3 linked regions of the Ovis aries genome follow. The protein of the gene in region 3 interacts with the protein of the main gene of each other region in a pairwise test. Links are inferred from orthologs where the notes say so. Each region holds a gene or a part of one and is shown on either strand. Other genes may lie near its edges.

Region 1 (5,898 bases), on a different chromosome or scaffold from region 3:
GATGGGTTGCTTAGAGTAGAGAAGGAAGGCTTTAGGAGAGCAGTTGCCGGTTTGAAGTAGTTGCTGTGAGAAACGAATGAGAGCCAACCAGAGATGCATGGGAATCTGGCTGCAGAGAGGTGCTGTTGTGGGCAGAGCTGACGAGCGTGCACGCTGGCACCAGGTCACACAGTCACGGGCGTGCATCTGGCAGGTGAGCACAGAGCACAGAGCTCTTGGCGTTTTGCTTTATGGGTGACCACACAGTGTGGAGAAATCTGATAGACTGGAGGGGTGTTTTTGTTAGTTTGGGTTTTGTTTTGTTTTGTCTGTTTTTAATTTTTTTTGGCTGTACTGCATGGCATGTAGGATCTTAGTTCCCCAACCAGGGATTAAACCCATGTCCCCTGCAATGGAAGTGTAGAGTCTTAAGCCCTGGACCACCAAGGAATTCCCAGATTGGAGGTTTTAGTGAAACTAATGGAGTCTCAGGTAGAAAGCCAGAGAAGAGAATAATTGGATTTAAGACCTCAAGGGTGGAATCTTTTTTCTAATTATGCCAAGGTCTGAAGAGTGGGCGAGGCTCTCAGGCATGGGTGGCCTCAAGGGAAATAAAGGGGAATAAGGGAGAAGGCATTGGTATCTGGGAGCTGCCTGAACTAGAGAAGTAATGGTAGACAGTGGAAGGATCTCATCTAACCCAGATCATGTCAGTGCAGGGGATCTGGAAGAGGGTTGGTGGGAAGTGCCATTTCAGAGAATGTGTCGGGGTAGTGAGAAGTCATCCATGAAAGGCTGAGGAATGTGAGTGTGGCTGGTGTGGCCCAGCAAATTGAGATGGGAACAGGCCTCACCTTCTCATGGGTCTGGAGGCACTTTGGGGCTGATGGATTAGCTGTATATTTTGCTGTACTGGCAGATTTCAGTTTTAGTAGCAGAGATTGTATGATCCACAAGCCTAAAATATTCAGTGTCTGGCCCTTTATAGAAAAAGTTTGTCAATCCTTGATCTAGGTCAAGAAATGAAACAAAACCATAAACTCATTACAGAGCAACAAAATGACAGTTTAAGTTTCTCAGTACATAAGAATTTTGTGTGTATTTGGTAAATAATTATCAACTTAGTAGAAGATGGATTTGAGTTGTAGAGTTTCCATAGGTGGGAATGAGTGGATGAAAACTTGTTCAAGCAAAGAAATCCTAACAAAATGATCTGAAGAACCATTAGCCTTGAAGATGAAGATAGAGCGAATTCCACAGCCATTTAGTTGCAGTAGTTGAGGGAGAAAAGAATCAGACCTGCAAATCAGGGTGACCAGCCATCCCCAGGACACTGGATTTCCAGTGCTAAAACTGGGCAAATGAAATAGTTGGCCGTGCTGTGCTCATTAGCAGCCTGTGAGGTTATTGCGGTTGGCTAAGTGTATTTCTTTCTCACTGCTCAAGTGTGCACTCTCAGAAGTTCAGACTCAATCAGAGGGAGAATTATTTATTAACTGGGTCTAGGTGTCTGTGCTGTTTTTACAATGAAGAAATAAAAGTTCCTCCCTTTAATAAAGGAACTGTCCAGCTGAAGGGTCAAAAACATTAGAAATAAACAAAATCAAAGGTTAAGTGGTGTGATACAGAAAGAGGAGTTAGTGAAACTCAGGGTAGGGTCAAATTAATTGAAGACTCAGAAAGGTCAAATTAAGTCTCGAAGATTGGTTGGAATTTGTAAACTCTAACCAAACTCATACTGGAAGTAGGACTTTGAGTCTGCTCCTTAGAACATGGATTTGGGGATAAGAAGAGGTTGTATCTAAACACCTTTTGGATCTTGTTGCCCAGGGGTCTGTCCTCCAGCCTCAGCAGATGAGACTTTTGAGCATCACCTTCAGCGACTGAGAAAACTCATTAAAAAGCGCTCTGAACTCTATGAAGCTGAAGAGAGAGCCCTCCAAGTTATGTTAGAAGGAGAACAAGAGGAAGAGAGGAAAAGAGAATTAGAAAAGAAACAGAGGAAAGAAAAAGAGAAATTTTTACTTCAGAAGCATGAAATCGAGTCCAAGTTATTTGGGGATCTAGGTAAGTTTCTCTGTAGCCAGTAGAGAAAAGAAAAATACTAGATTGACAGCTCTTTTGTTCATGGATGATCTCCACCTAAGCTAAGAGGTGGTAGATGACAGGTGACACCTTTAGGATTTGAATTCTGAACTATATCCTGGAAATCAGGGCTGAAGGTGAGACACATTTGATCTTATTGTATAATCATAGACTAAGTCAGTTTGCCTTGAGAAATATGCTCTGCACGCTAAGCATGACATGGCATGGTGCCTTTTCTTTTTCAGATGAGTTCCCGCTCGCCCATCTCTTGCAGCCTTTCCGGCAGTATTACCTCCAAGCTGAGCACTCCCTGCCAGCACTCATCCAGATAAGGTGAGAGGGGCATCGTCCACGTCTTCTTTCCCTTAGGTAGCAACAGGCAGTGCTTATGTTGTTGGGGTCTATTACTATATCTTTTTTTTTTTTAGTTCTTATGAATTTATGTACTGTTTCCAAGTTCGAAGGGTGCCACTTACATCTTGTTTAGTCCTCATCAACTCTTGAGAAGTACATGTCCCTATTTTAACAGGTGAAGACACTGAAACTCGGGTTGTGACTTGCCCTCTGTGTTATCCCATGCTATAGCTGTTATGTTGACTTAAAACATTGACTTCCTTTTCCTAATTCTCTTCTGTGGCTAAACAGGCCAAGGAAAAGAAACCCTTCCTGTGTGCTTACTTACTTGTGGAGACTGTTTAAGACCCAGACTGACTTGTGAGTTCAAACCCAAGAGAGCTAGGAACAAGGAGTCTCACCTTTATCTGCAGTTACTAATGAGCTGGGTAAAGTTTTTAGCTCTGAGCCTCGCTTCCCTTACCTGCAAGATGCAAATGGAGGCTTAGACTGTGGCCTTCAAATGTGAACAGCAGTACCCTCCCAGATGCAGTGTTTTGAGAACTCAGTTTGTATAACAGAATGAATGGATGGATAGGTTCCACAGGCAGCTTAAATCTGTTAGTGACTGGAAGCACCTTGTTCTTTCTAGACTCCCCAGAGCATCTCCTTGGATCTAAGGGTCTTCAAAGCCCAGTTTGAAAAACTGCCAAATCAAGTGATCTTTGAGGATCCTTCCAAAGGTCCAACAATGCTGTTCAGCAGTGTTCTGGGAAAAGTGTATTTCCGGCTAATATACAAGTTTTAGCCTTTAAATATATTACAGTTGATTCTCGTTATTCATAGGAGCTCTATTCTATAAAGCTGCAAATGCTGAGTTAGAGAATGTTGAACTCCTGCTCCTAAAGGAAAAATAGATTACTGTGAGCCTCTGGCCATAACATTTCATCAACCAATCAGTATATAAATTTTCTTTCTTTTTTAAAAGACACCTTATTTAATATTTTTGATCCATTAACATTGAACTCATTAACATATAACTGATGCCTGAAGGTAGCTTATCTAACATACACATATTGTCCATAAGGCACATCATGGCCTCCTCATGCTAGCTTTAGCACTCCAGCACTATACTTGGGAGCAATTTTAAACAACAAAATGCCAATAAAAGGCACAAAAATGTGAAGAGTGTTGCACTAAATAGACTAGGGGAGCTGAAGACAAGAAGGCAGAGTGTCACTGTGTCCCACTGCAGTTGGGAACATGCCCTTTGGTGACTCAGGCTTTTCACTGCGCTGTGCGTGTCAGCAGCTAACCGTGGAAGCACCACGAGTCACGATTTGGGAGGTTACACAAATTTTAGTGAGTAGGCAAATTTGCAAATAACAGAATCGATGATTGACGCTATATTCATTCTTTGGTTATCCGTAAAATACGAGTTCTTTGGAGTTTTTTTTTTACCCCATTTGTATATACATTAAGAAGTAGTCTTTTGCATAATTTCTAGAAATTAAGTTCATTAGTAGATTCATATAAGTCGTTTGAGAGCAGAGTCCTGAAATAGAATACTTAGTTGCTAGCATCTTGCTTGAAATAAGACAGAAATAAACAGTTGTTCTACAATGTTCTTATTAAGGCATGATTGGGATCAGTACCTGGTGCCATCTGATCATCCCAAAGGCAGCTCCATTCCTCAAGGATGGGTCCTTCCCCCGCTCCCCAGCAACGACATCTGGGCAACCGCTGTTAAGCTGCATTAGTAAAGATGTTACAGGAGTGTCGTCCAGCCAAGGCTCTTTTCAACTCTAAGTATCAGTGATGCTGCCATCTTGTGATACAGAGCAAACTCCATGTGGCATTGCCCTACCGAGAAGGTACATTTTCCTTCTGTCCTCTGTCTCATCCAGAGGTGCCTCTTGAATCGGGAGATTAATATGATTCTTCAAGAAAAGACCCAGGTGGACTGAGGTTATCATGACAGGCACTGGCCTTGGTTCACCGAATTTGCCTCTGTTTTGAGGGGCTTCGTCTAGAGTGACTTGCAAGTTTACTTGTACCTTTCTCGCGTGGTAATGGGTAAGTACACTATACACGCATATCCTCGGCACAGGTGTGCTCTGGGTAGCAGTCCTTCCCCCAGTACTGCTTGTTAAGGTAAGCTTGATGCAAAATCTCCTTACCTTTCTTACCCAAAGACCCTCCTAACTTCCAGGAAGAAAAGTAAGGAAGGCTTTATCTTCAGTTTTGTGAATTCTACTTTTGGTGCAGCTGGAGAGGCTAGGCTGCCAGAAAAGCTGGTGGCCTCACTGCTAGTATGTGGAGAACTTGGAAAGCCTGCCGAGTGCTTGTATCCAAACTGGATTGTGTTTTAATGGATGCTGGCTGCATGTCCCCCATGTTAGAAGGATCCTAATGAAAGCACCTGCTTCTTAAGTTCCTAAAGGTCTGGATGTTCAGAATCCCCAGCGATAAAAATTAATTTCCTTATGGGATTACGACCCTGATCAACTTCACTCAGTCACCCTGTGGGAGCCAGTAGAGTGGAAATTGTGGAATTTTCTTAGGAACTCAAGCTTCCAAAATTATATACATAGTTGAAGTGGGGGGCAGGGGGGAAGTGGATTAAAATAATAAAACTTATTTTTTATATTCATTAATAAATGCTGTTGTGCCTGGAGATGACCAATCATATAACATTGTCAGGTTTTTTGTTTGGTTTTCCTTTTTTGTCATTTATTGTGTTGTTTCCAAAAAGCTAAATAAATATTATTTTTATTTTTTTAGTTTGAGCCTTTGCCCTCAATTTGTTGCCTCCGAAATCACTGTACACACTTTCTCACTGCTGAAACACACACACTATAAAGTTCACATTTAGTAACTAGGCATTTGCTCCAGGAAGGCAAACCTCAAGCACTAGACTTTGTATGTGGAATCCAGCTCTGGATAAGCAGGAAAGGACACCTCAACTTTGGAAGTGATTTCATGTAACTGGAAGCACTTGGGTACAAGATACTAACTAACACATTTGTCCCTGTTTTATTTGCACTGTTAAGTTTCTATATTAAGCACTACAGAGTTAACAGATAGGGTGTGAGTGCCATCACTCCTCCAAAGTGTGTTTAAGTTCATAAACCTCAGAATCTGACGTGGTCAGGCTCACATAACCCCACAGGCCTGTGTGCCCTTTTGTTATAAGTCTCCACCATTTTCTGGTGAGCTGTAGGACAAGTAGAAAAAAAGATGAATTGTACAATATATATTTGGTTCCAGAGAGCCTTGCTTTGAAGATACCTGCATTGATGGGCTTAGGGAGTATGGAGCAGGGACTCAGGAAAACTCAGGCAGCAGAACCCAAGGAAAAGAAGACACAATCTCGGGTGGAAAAAACAATTCCCTTTCCTCTCATTCGGCTTCTGCGAAGTTTTAATAAAGTGAGCATTGTTTTTGTTATTTGCTTGGTTTTTTGTTTTGTTAACTTTTCCCTAGTTTATTGCCCTGTGT
Region 2 (5,898 bases), on a different chromosome or scaffold from region 3:
ACTCCCTGAGAGTGCCAGAGGCACTGGAGCTGCTGCACCAGGGGCCGGACTCGGGGACCCAGCGCGAGCCCTGGCTGGTGGCTCGCACCCTCGAGGGGCCGGCTGGGAGCTGGGCTCCTGCCGCTGGAGCAGCGCCGGACGACAACGCTGGACTCGGAGAGCTCCCCCGTTCAACCGTGTCTGCAGCCAGGGAGCTGTCGGGAGAGAAGGCGCATTTTCAGGTGCCCTCCCTGTCCGGCCACCCTGCCTTCACTGTTTCTCTCCCACCCTCTTAGGTATGGAAACTCGGATGGTCACCCAAACCGGGCGGGGATTTCGGCACAGTGTTCCCTGAGATCCCCGTGGAGTTCCTCCAGGAGAAGGAGGTCTTTAAAGAGTTCATCTACCGCATCAACACGCTGGGTAGGCCGGGGCCCTGTGGGCGCATCGCCCTAACACAGCTGCCGGGAGCCGGGGCGGTGGTGGGATCTGCCTTCTTTTATTCCAGGGAGGAGTTGAGGCAGGACACAGTCGTGTGCGTATGTTCTGTAATACACACAAAGCTGTCACGGTAACGGAGTGTGTGTGCATGTGTGTGTGAGAGAGCGTTTCTTTCCCCGTGTTCAGATCAGGTCAGGCGGTGCCCCCTTGATGGGCGGTACTGAGCCGGGTTCAGCCTGTGTCTCCGCCCCTCGGCTGGAGGGTGCGGGGTTCCCTGCGGGAGCCACCTGTAATCACTGCCACCCTGACCCCTGTGTGCCAGGCAGAGCGGTGTGCTCCATGAGGCAGGGCAGGCCACTTTGACCCCTAGGACTGCGCTTCTGCCGTCCATGGCATGAGGGTGGCGACTGTTTCCCACAACTGCTGCAACCTTAGAAACGGAAGGGGCCCTGATGCACGGCGTCCCCGTCAGCAGCAGGGCCCCAGGCTTCGCTCAGGACGCCGCCTTGCTGCCTGCAGCGTAGCAGAAGCTTACCCTCTTCGTCCACGTGTCGTGGCTGGGGGTAGGCCTGGTGCGTGAGCGCTGTCAGTGGCAGAGGCTGGGAGGCTGCGCCCAGCGTGGCGACTCCACCGCGGCCCCAGCCCCACGTCGGGCCCCTCCGCCCAGCGCCCGTCCTCTCTCAGCCTCCATGGGGTCTGTGCTGCGATGACCCTGGGGCGTGGGCCGGCAGACACCGCGCTGCCACCTCTCCTCCCTGAGTCGAGCGGTGAGCGAAGCCTGAGCAGCAGTCTGAGGCCGCTGCTTTCGGAACTTCCCCGCCCTCTCCCCAGCGGCCCCCCGCCTCCCGCAGCCCGCCCGACCCCCGTGCCCCTGTGTCTCGGGTACCTTCCCGTCTGCGTAGTCAGTCCCCGCGTGCCTGGAGGCAGCCTGCAGGCTTCTCCGGACGCCTGCTTCGCTGTTGCCCATTGTCCTTGTTGCTCCCCTTTCCTCCCACGGGAGTCAGCGCGTGTCTGTCTGGACTTCCCGTCTCAGCTTGTGTGTCTGTCTGATCCATACCTGAATCAGCCGCTCTGTCTGTCCATGTGCAGGTCACCAGAGAGTTCCTGACATTTGAGGCTTTGGTTTTCTGTCCTCGGCACCCCATTCTTGCCCCTTGTAGTGTTGATTCAAGTGGCATGGCCTCCTCCCTCCTAGGGTCCCGGCCCTTGGGATAACTGCTCACCCAGGACCACCTTGGGAGCGCCTTGGGACAGTGGTGCTTGAGAATGGCCCCCGAGACGCCCTCCTCACGGACTGGACTTCCCCCATAGATTACACTCTGTCTCGACCTCCCGTCCTTCTTGAGGGGCCAGGGCAGCCATTGCTCTGAGCTTCGATGGCGCTGCCCTGACGTAGAGTTGACATGGCAGCCCGTGCATCCGTTCGGGTGTGGTTCCACGGTGGAGGCTGGACACACCCACACGGGCTGGGGGTGTGACTCTACGTAAGGCTGTCCCAGCCCCTGCTGAGCAGGGCAGAGGGCGCTCTGACCCCATCTGAGCGTCACCCGCTCAGACATCCACACAGCAGGGTCCAGAGGGTGCTTTGCACCAGGCCACCTGGGCTGAACTCAGCCGTGTCGGTCTACTCACCACTGGGCTCGGCCGGCAGTGAGGCTGCACCGCAGTGCCGTCCTGAGGCTCTGGGCAGTGGCTGTGTGGGCACCTGGCCAGCGAGAGCCACGGTGCCCACTGCCCCGTCTCGCAGAGAAGGCAGAGCAGTGGGGACCCTCTGTCTAAAGCGACACTCGCGTTCCAGGGTGGACCAGCCGCACCCAGTTTGAGGAGACATGGGCCACCCTCCTCGGCGTCCTGGTGACTCAGCCACTCGTGATGGAGCAGGAGGAGAGCCCCCAGGAAGTAAGGCTGCGCGCAGGGTCCAGGGCAGCACGCCCTTCCACCTGTCTCACCCGGGTGGTAAACGGGTGGCCAGTCACATCCTGGCCGGTGTTCCAAGGTCTGGGTGCTCTAGGATCATGGCCCAAAGGCGTTAACCACAGCGTGCTGCCTGCAGGCCGCAGGACTGTGTCCTTCCTTAAATGTATCTCACGTTCTGCTGCTCAGCATCCAGGTATGGTGTGTAGCAACGTTTCATCAAAAAGGAAAGGCGTGTCTTAGAGGCCACACGTGATAACTAGTGTTGATTTCTCTTGACTTGTTTTCCAAAAATTTTATGGGGCCTGGAGTGTTAGTGCATATTGTGGTACTTTAAGAAGACGTGCTCTGATACAGGAAAGCCTGAAACATTAAAAGCTGTCAGGTTCGCGTTCTTCAGATAGAAGGTGTGGTGTGAAGCGGCAGAAGTGGCGGTTCAGAGAGTGTGTGTGTCAGGCGTCACCAGGAGTGACGTTCGCCGGAGAGGAGCCAGCGGCTCGTCCTGTGCAGGGCCCCTAAAATCGGTGAGGAGATTGAGGACAGTTTCTTAAGAAGTAATTCATATTTGGAGCTTTGTGCTTGGAGGAAAGCTGGCTTGGAAAAGCAACCACTTGCCCATCAGATTTATCTCAAATCACAGATGTGTGTGGATTCTGGTGAATTTAGGCAGATGCTCCAGGACCCCCGCCGGGAAGGCACATCTGTCTGTCCGCTCGGGGCCCGTGCCTGTGAGGCCGCCTGGCTAGGCAGCCCCAGGGGAGGTAGTGTGCTGCGGTATGCGCCTTGGTAACCTGGGGCTCTCCTTCCAGGAGGATGTGGAGAGGACGCAGATCCACGTCCTGGCCGTGCAGGCCATCACCTCCTTGGTGCTGAGCGCGATGACCGTGCCCGTGGCCGGCAACCCGGCCGTGAGCTGCCTGGAGCAGCAGCCCCGGAACAAGCCCCTGAAGGCCCTCGACACCAGGTGGGCCCGGGAAGCACGTGCCCAGGGCACGGCCGCGTGGGAGCAGGGAGGCGCTGGGGCGCCCTCTCCTTTGCTGCCAGGGTGGTTTGGTGGCTGAGGCTGACGACCTGGCCTCTGGTGTCGGGGGCCGGCTCCAGTGGAGCTAAGGGGGCGCCTGTGCAGGGCCCGAGGGCCTTGGCTGCACCGTTTCCTGGCAGCGAAGCTGGGAGTCAGGGGGTTCACTTTGAAGATTTTGGAGGAGCTGGGTGCCGGTAACCTTTGCTCTGAACTTAGGTTTGGAAGGAAGCTGAGTGTCATCAGAGGGATTGTCGAGCAGGAGATCCAGGCAATGGTTTCCAGGAGAGAAAACGCCGCCACTCACCACCTGTACCAGGCGTGGGACCCCGTCCCGTCTCTAGCCCCAGCCACCACAGGTTCCAGGGGCTCGTGGGGGGGTGGGTTGCGTGGGGGTGTCAGCCGCTCCTTGTGCCCGTGAGCACGGCTGGACTGTCCCAGTGCCAGGGTGGGGGCTCGGTGGGCACCTTGTCAGCGACCACTAACACTCCAGCTTTTGCAGCTCAGCCCACAGCCAGTTCCCGTTCAGTCTGGTTTGTTATGGAGAAAAAGTGATAGTTCTCATCACCCTGCTGGTCCTGCAGCTTCATATGCTGTGCGGGGACGGACTCCCCACTGAGGGGGCACTCAGGGCTGTGCGGGACGGACTCCCCACTGAGGGGCACTCAGGGCTGTGCGGGGACAGACTCCCCACTGAGGGGGCACTCAGGGCTGTGCGGGGACGGACTCCCCACTGAGGGGGCACTCAGGGCTGTGCGGGGACGGACTCCCCACTGAGGGGGCACTCAGAGCTGTGCGGGGACGGACTCCCCACTCTGCGGGGACACTCATGCATCCTTGCCCTGCAGGTGCTCTCATCAGCCATGACAAGCTGCTGCTGCAGCTCAACCCTGAGCGTGAGCTGGGGGACATGAGCTACAAGCTTGGCCAGGTCAGTGCCCGGCAGGCGGCCAGCGGGGCCGGTTCCTCCCCACCCTCCCTCCAGAGCTAGCTGACTGTCCCCTGCGTGGGTAGGGGGCTTTGTTACATCATTCAGAAACACGGGCCCACACGTGTTGTCTGGTGAGAGGACCGGTTTAGAACAGAGATCCCACCTTCTGGTTCCATTTTGTGTCAAGACCTCACCCTGACGTCCTTCAGCAGCCAAGTTTCCTTTTTCTTTCTCAACGTTCCCTTTCTTAGTGGCGCTTCCCCCTCCTCAGCTGCTCCCAGGGGCGTCATTTGGGGTCTTAAGCCGCGAATCCCTGAGGGTCTGACTAGCCCTGCCCGGGGACGGGGGTTGGTGCTTGCCTCAGAGACCCCCAGTAGGCCCGGCGCCCCTTGCCTCCAGCACCTGAGCACCACCCCATCCCATGTCTCCTGAAGGTGTCCATCCACTCGGTGTGGCTGGGGAACAGCATCACGCCCTTGCGAGAGGAGGAGTGGGACGAGGAGGAGGAGGAGGCCGAGGCCCCAGCACCGTCGTCCCCGCCCACGTCTCCGCTCAACTCCAGGTTCCCTCTGCCTTCTGTCCAAGCGAGCGGGAGCTCCCCCCAGTCCCTTGTTTGGGGGCCTCTTGAAACAAACCTCTCATCTCTTTCGGGGGAAATTGCAGGAAACACCGGGCTGGAGTCGATATCCACTCCTGTTCGCAGTTTTTGCTCGAGTTGTACAGTCGCTGGATCCTGCCATCGAGTTCCGCCAGGAGGACCCCCGTCACCCTGATCAGCGAGGTGGTGCGCTCGGTGAGTGCCCTGCCCGCCCCTGCGGTGCCCGGGCCCCGCGCGGAGACTCGGGATGTTGTAGTGCTTCTCAGGCCAGGGAAGGGGCTGCCTCCACAGCGCAGAGCCGGGCAGGCACGCCCCAGCCCAGTGGCCACATCGTGGAATCGGCACGGGACCGCCTGTCCTCGCAGCGCTGTCTCCTCGGGCCTGTGACAGACGTACCTCCCCAGCAGCCAAGCACCCATCCGGGCGGTTGTTGTCCAGGGGTTGGGCTCAGAGTCCTTCACGTCCGGGAGCTCGGAGGGGCCACCAGGAAGTGTAGCTTCCTGTGTGCAGCACCTGTTAGTCCTCGCAGTGTTGAAGTCACACCTGAGAGGTTTGAAAAGTCGCTTACTCGGTGCCTTCTTGTCACGTGGGTTACGTCCAGAAGGAGGGCCACCCGGGACTGGACTGTTCTTTTTATCTAAAGGTGTCTCCTTTTGGGAATGACTTTCTTTTTTTTTCAAGCTTGTTTTTCTCAGTATCCCTTTAAAGGTTTCATATTTGGTCAAGTTGATATTTTTAAGAACCTCGTTTTTAACTTGTAAGTTGCAAATTGACTTTTATCAAAGAAGTCAGCAAACTACAAGTACTGCTAAAGATCTTAAAAAAAACAAGTTACTAGAAATTCATGGGGGTCCAGTGGTTAGGACTCAGCACTGCTGTGGGCCCAGATTTGTTTCCACAAACCACACGGCATGACAAAAAAGAAGATTGTCTATTTAAGAATAGTAACGACAGTGTCAAGGTTTAAGTTGCTTTGCATCTAGCACCTGGCTCATCAGCACTCCCTGGGTTCTCATT
Region 3 (5,898 bases):
CATCATAATATTACAGTTGAAGTAGCTGGATGGGTGTCTATAAAACAAAGTGTGTAATTTGATTCAAATTTTTAAGCAGTAAAGCTTTAGATATGTACGAAACACACGCTGAATGCCCAGAAAGCACAGTATTACGATTTCTCTCCCCAGATTCTTCGCACCACACTATCCCCACATCATATTTTACCTGCAAAGAATTATTCAGCTTTCAGTCATTTAGCTGAGCAGTCAATGAGGCAGGCAAGTCAGAGAAATCAGGATAAGACCAATAATCCCATGTGACAGTAATTAACATTGAGTGGCCTCTGCTAATGTGCTAGAAAAGGGTAAGAACCTGGTTGTTGAACCTCTGTCCTTAATGAGGCAGAGGGTGGTTTAGACAAGGAGACATGATCTGTTGGAAGCAAAAGGAATTTTCAGAGCACAGCCTGGGTGAGGTGAGAAATGAGGCTCTTAGCCAGTCCTTAGCCCTGCCTCATCGAAACTGAGCTCCAAAGGTTCCAAAGATGAGCACCATCACATTCAACCAGAGTTAAGCGATGAGCCCAAGGTCACACAGTGAGTTAGTGAGAGTGTGAAAATGACAGCTCATAGTGTTTCTAGTCCATTGCGTGCTGCAGTGAACTATGGTCAAAGAAGCTCTGTATTATAATAAAGCCCCAGAAACATTCTTTTTTGACCTCGAGGAGCTGAGCAAATTGTAACAGGCTCCAAATCTAAAAAATCAGCTTGAAACTTAAAATTGAATTGAAACACATAGCCCACAGTCACAGTATTGGTCACCAGAGTGAAATGTCCTCTGTGATCGTACCTTCAGGCTAGCATTAATTAAAAAGAAAAGGAGGAAATGCATTATGTGTACCTATGAGGCTAGCTATTATTGCTCATCCAGGTCATTCAATATTCACTCAAAAAACATGATTTGATCACTTACTACATACCACTCACTGTGTCAGATACTTGAGACAGAATAACGAGTAAGGCAGACAGACAGACAGCCCTAATATTCACAGACAGACGGTCTCAGTAGTTTTCAGATAAGCAACTATCTGCCAAATATAATCGGGTTCAATCTTGTAGTGCAGAGGTTCCCAGTCTTTTTGGCACCAGGGACCAATTTTGTACAAGACAATTTTTCTACAGACCGAGAGTAGGGAAGATGGTTTGGGGATGACAAACGCATTTCATTTCCTGTGTACTTTATTTCTAATCTAATACCACCGCTGATCTGACAAGAGGTACCAGTCCACAGCCCGTAGGTGGGGGACCCCTGCTGTAGAAGGGGTCTTCTTCCCCCACTTACTTATGGGCAACTTTTCCCACCCAAGCACATAAAAAAGAGAAACCAGAAGTGCAGTTGCTCTTTTGACTGAAATTTCCACTACCAACTACTCGACATTTCCTGTGTGATCCCTAAAGAATAGTTGATGCATATTTTATCCCTATGGGGAATTTATGCCTATTTTTACTAAATATCCCAAATACCTTTAATTCATATAACAAACACCCTCTCCTCTTTCTAGTCCCTCCTTGAACAGCACTTTTTTTCAAATCTTTGTTCCTGACTTCTGCTAAGACCCCAGAAGGTGACTATTAAGTGACACAGGGAATACTCAAAAGCCATTTCACCTGCTTATCATTTTTGTTTTGTCCAGGGTAAGTCCCCAATCTCTTGGTTCAATGTTCATACTTTCTTATTTGGACTTAACTTTTGCAGATAATCTTTCCAGTTCTGAGGGGGTGTAAACAACTTGGAGATTTTCACAGTTTTGGTGTTTTGTAAAGAAAATTGTTTCAACAACATAGTTCCTCTCAGTTCATTTTTTTTTTCTTGCCCTTATCTCTAATATCTGGATGGACTGTTACGATATAAAGCAAGCTGAAAATAGACAGACCCCCAAATTTCCCATGCTCCTGAATTTTGATTTTGTATCTAGGGAAATCTCTTTCCTAAAAATACTTTATTCCTTTGCGGTTTCAACTTAAGAAAACTCTACAGGTGACAACTGTAAAGGGATATAATGGAACGAGGTTAGCAGTTTCCAGGGTGCAGTCTCACTGATACAAAAATATAAGTAATACACCATAAACCCAAGGATAGAAACTCATTCTATGTCAAGGAGCGCCGGACGCCAGGGCTCTAATCTGAGACAACAGGGAACAACTGAGACGCCTTACTCCTCATCCTGCAGGGTCTCCTCCTCCTCTTGAATCTGGAACTGGTTCTTCACGGGAGCGAGGTTCTCGGTCTTGGCGTTGTAGTTCCGAAAGCAGACGTTGAGCTTCTCGTCAAATTCATTCACCAGGTCCTCCATGGACTTGAAGCTGATGATCTCAGAAGAGAAATTCTCCAGCTCAGATAGGGAGGGGTCCTCGAGATGGTGGGGAGATGAGCCGTAGAAACACCGGGGCTTCTCCTCGGGGTCTTCCGAGCAGCAGGGCCGAAGGTCCTCAAATTCTTCATCCAAACTCACCAGTGGGGCCTCCATCCTTGCACAGCAATCAGAAAACTGCAATGTTCAGGATTCGCTTATCTGGAAGAAATAGACACGGTAATGTGAGTTTGGACTGGGCTTTTCTGCCAGCTCTGTTGAGGAGCCACAATCACTTATTACATAATCACTCATTACTCTCAGCCCCTAAAAACAAAGACCTTGCTTTACTGGCTCCATTGTCTGTGCTTCCTCACTGTTATACCCTTAAGGAGTGCGAATGTCATTATCATTGTGAATAATGGTAACTTAATAAGCATGCATTTTGGAGACACACCTGCTCCCATTCCCTGCCCCCCAAAACAAAGCCTAACTTTAACAAAGGTTAAAGAGGCAGGCCCCCTAGACCAGGCTGCCGAGGCGTGCATCGGCTCACTCCTTAGCTCCTGCCCAGCGGCGATCGCAGCAGTAATTTAACTTCTCTCTGATCCTCTTTTATTCTCCTTAAGACAGAAATAATAGCAGGACCTACCTCAAAGGGCTGTCCTAAAGGTTAAAGGAGTGCCTAGAAGAGTGCCTGGGAGATAATAAACGATGATGTTGTTCAATTTATGTTCTTTGTATTGTGATGGTGATGATTAACATAGCACATCCTTAACCATGTGCTCTCGAAACTGGGAGGTTTGTGGGACTGCCCTGCTGGTCCAGTGGCTAAGACTGCATGTACTCCCAAGGCAGGAGGCCATGGTTTGATCCCTGGGATCTAGATCCCACATGTCAAAACTAAGGGTCTGCGTGCTGCAACTAAGACCCGGCACAGCCAAATAAACAATTTTTAAAATTTTTAATAAATATTGAAAAGGAACTTCCCTGGTGGCCCAGTAGTTGAGACTCCACACTTCCAACGCAGGGGGAATGGGTTTGATTCCTGGTCAGGGAACTAAGATCCTACATGTGGTACAGCACAGCCAAAACAAATAAATAACCTGGAAGTTTTCCATTACTTATTTGGTGGCAAAACCTGCCATGACCTAAACTCATTTGCCAACTAAACCTGATATATATGCTTATAGAGCTGTTTATGGTTTTAATGTATCCCATTTAGTGTATTATGCTGCAGAAATTTTTAATTTTTTTAAAAAATTATAGAGATGGCTGCCCCAGCCCCCAGGGGATGATATGCAGACTATGCACTCTATTACTAAATTCCAAACCCTGAGATCATCTCAATTCTGAAACATGCCTGGCCCCAGGGGTTTTGGACAGGGCTTCATGGACCTGGGTGTTACTACTCTCATCAATAAACGGTGGACTAATAGAGTACTAATACAGACTTTCATACGAGCACCTGAGTTTTTTCCAGATACACAGCTTATGTCTGTAACTAGAAGAGTGGATTAGTGACCTGTAAGAGAGAGACCCAATGACCCATGTCCTCCAAAGCCAGACTTCACAGCAACCTGGGGCACTGCACCCCAGAAGGCTGTACATTCAGGCCTCCCTTCATTTCCCAATAGCTCCGGGCCTTCAGCTGTGATTTATCCATCTGTATGTATACAACCAAGCCCTTCCCCAATTTTAATTTAAATTCCTCGAGGACACGGACATCCTCTGGATACCCTCCACTGTTTCTAGCACACACGGCCTGCGGGGAGGCAATCAATCAATGTGTGCTCACTGACAAATGATCTTCCGTCCCCCTCACAGAGTTTTCATTTTCCACTGCAGGCAACACAAGCTCATTGTCTACCATGCCCTTCTCTACCTACTCCCGTTTCCTTCCCTGGAACACAGCAAGGCAACCAAACTTCTGTCTCTTATCTGTGTGATGACTGATCCAGCCAGATGCTTAAATTGGAACCACTACCCAAGGAGAAGCAAACAGAGAGCAAAAACCATCCTGCACCCCTACCTTTAAAACTAAAATTCTACATAAGCAAGGCAGATGGCATGCCAGGTAAGGACCTGGACAGTCCTTCCGGGGATTTTACTGGGATTGAGTCAGTTACCACCACATCTCAACAAAACGCATTCTGAGTATTTATAGTTTGCAAAGCCAACGTGATAAGACCTCAAAATACAAAAAGATACAAAAGCAGTATGACAGCTTAGGAAGAACACAGGGTCAAGAGTCAACAGACCTGCCAATGCCTGACTGAATGAGAAGTACTGTAGGTCTTGATTTCCTCAACTGTTAAAAAGAAAGTGTTGAAAAAAAAGTGTTGGTATAGAGCTAATACTTTTGGAAGTCACTTTTAATAACATATTAACATAATTAATAATTTAACTGTATATTTTAATAATATAGTTTAATCCAATATATCCCAAATATTACCATTTCAATATCTAATCCAAATTTTTAAATATTAATGAGACATTTGTCACTGTTTTTTCATACTAAGTCTTCAAAATATAGTGTGCATTTTACATTCACATTATGTCTCTATTTGGATCAGTCAAATTTCAAGTGTCCACCAGCCACATATGGCTAGTGGCTACCATATCAGACACCCCAACTATTAAGTAATACACAACTAATTGCCAGTTAGAGGTTCCTCACCTATGGTCAACAGACTCCTGAGGGTTCTTTGAATATACCACATTTCATTTTTTTGCATTTAAAAGCATATTTCAGGGAATTCTCTGGTGGTCCAGTGGTTAAGACTGTGAGTTTCCACTACCGGGGGCAGTTTTGATCCCTGGTTGGGCCACTAAGATTCCACATGCTTCTCAATGTGGCCAAAAAAAATAAAAGAAGAGAGATAAAATCATATCCTGAGAAAGATCCCAACGGGCTCCTCTACAATGCTAAAGTGGCTCATCTCACAAAAAAGATTAGGAATCCCTGAGTGCCAAAAGAGTGAGTTTAGAAAAGATCACTCAGTGTGACAGAAATTAAGGAAAGGTTTACAGATGAGAGATTTGTATTGAGAGAGCCCCAGGTTCCCATCCTGGTCCTATCACTTCCCAGCTTTGAGACTCTGGGCAAATTATAAACCTCTTTGACTTCATTTCCTCATCTGTAAAATGGGATTTACAATAGTACTTATATTGGAGGTTTCTTTGTGCAGTAAATGAGACAATCTTTGAAGTGTTAAGCATAATGTATGGAATACATGAAGTGTCCAAAAATGTCAATAATATTAGGAAAGCAAAGATAGTTACACGAAAATGTGAGGTGACAGTGCTTCAAGTAAGAAAAACTATCCTTGCCAAGATATTCCCTGTGTGATGCTTCAAAATGCTTATCAAAAGAGAGAACTATCGCTGAATGAATGTTACCATGCTTTTTACTAAGGCACTCCTGCTATTTTCAATTCATGTGGTCAAAGCCTCTCAGATCACTGGTTCCATTTCAGCAAGACATGAAAGCTAACCAGCTTGTATTCCAAATATTCACACTTCCTTTAAATCTGTACTCTTCCTAGAGGGGACAAGGGAGCTGGCATGAGAAGGTATACCAAGG

The links.
Region 1: the proteins of FEZ1 (region 3) and PDCD7 interact in a two-hybrid assay, tested with the Homo sapiens proteins (2 studies listed by BioGRID and IntAct). The link is inferred for Ovis aries from reciprocal best matches to the Homo sapiens genes FEZ1 and PDCD7.
Region 2: the proteins of FEZ1 (region 3) and HTT interact in binary tests that used the Homo sapiens proteins (3 or more experiments, as listed by UniProt). The link is inferred for Ovis aries from reciprocal best matches to the Homo sapiens genes FEZ1 and HTT.

The regions. Positions count from the first base shown.
Region 1 is NC_056060.1:12,044,462-12,050,359, reverse strand, and holds the end of PDCD7 (programmed cell death protein 7), read left to right. Parts: intron 1-1,809; coding exon 1,810-2,046; intron 2,047-2,309; coding exon 2,310-2,397; intron 2,398-4,033; coding exon 4,034-4,157; 3' UTR 4,158-5,180; downstream 5,181-5,898. UniProt on the Homo sapiens protein: Promotes apoptosis when overexpressed.
Region 2 is NC_056059.1:116,333,760-116,339,657, reverse strand, and holds part of HTT (huntingtin), read left to right. Parts: intron 1-275; coding exon 276-402; intron 403-2,218; coding exon 2,219-2,319; intron 2,320-3,143; coding exon 3,144-3,298; intron 3,299-3,571; coding exon 3,572-3,711; intron 3,712-4,200; coding exon 4,201-4,283; intron 4,284-4,717; coding exon 4,718-4,845; intron 4,846-4,946; coding exon 4,947-5,076; intron 5,077-5,898.
Region 3 is NC_056074.1:26,390,740-26,396,637, forward strand, and holds part of FEZ1 (fasciculation and elongation protein zeta-1), read right to left. Parts: intron 2,535-5,898; 5' UTR 2,490-2,534; coding exon 2,179-2,489; intron 1-2,178. UniProt on the Homo sapiens protein: May be involved in axonal outgrowth as component of the network of molecules that regulate cellular morphology and axon guidance machinery.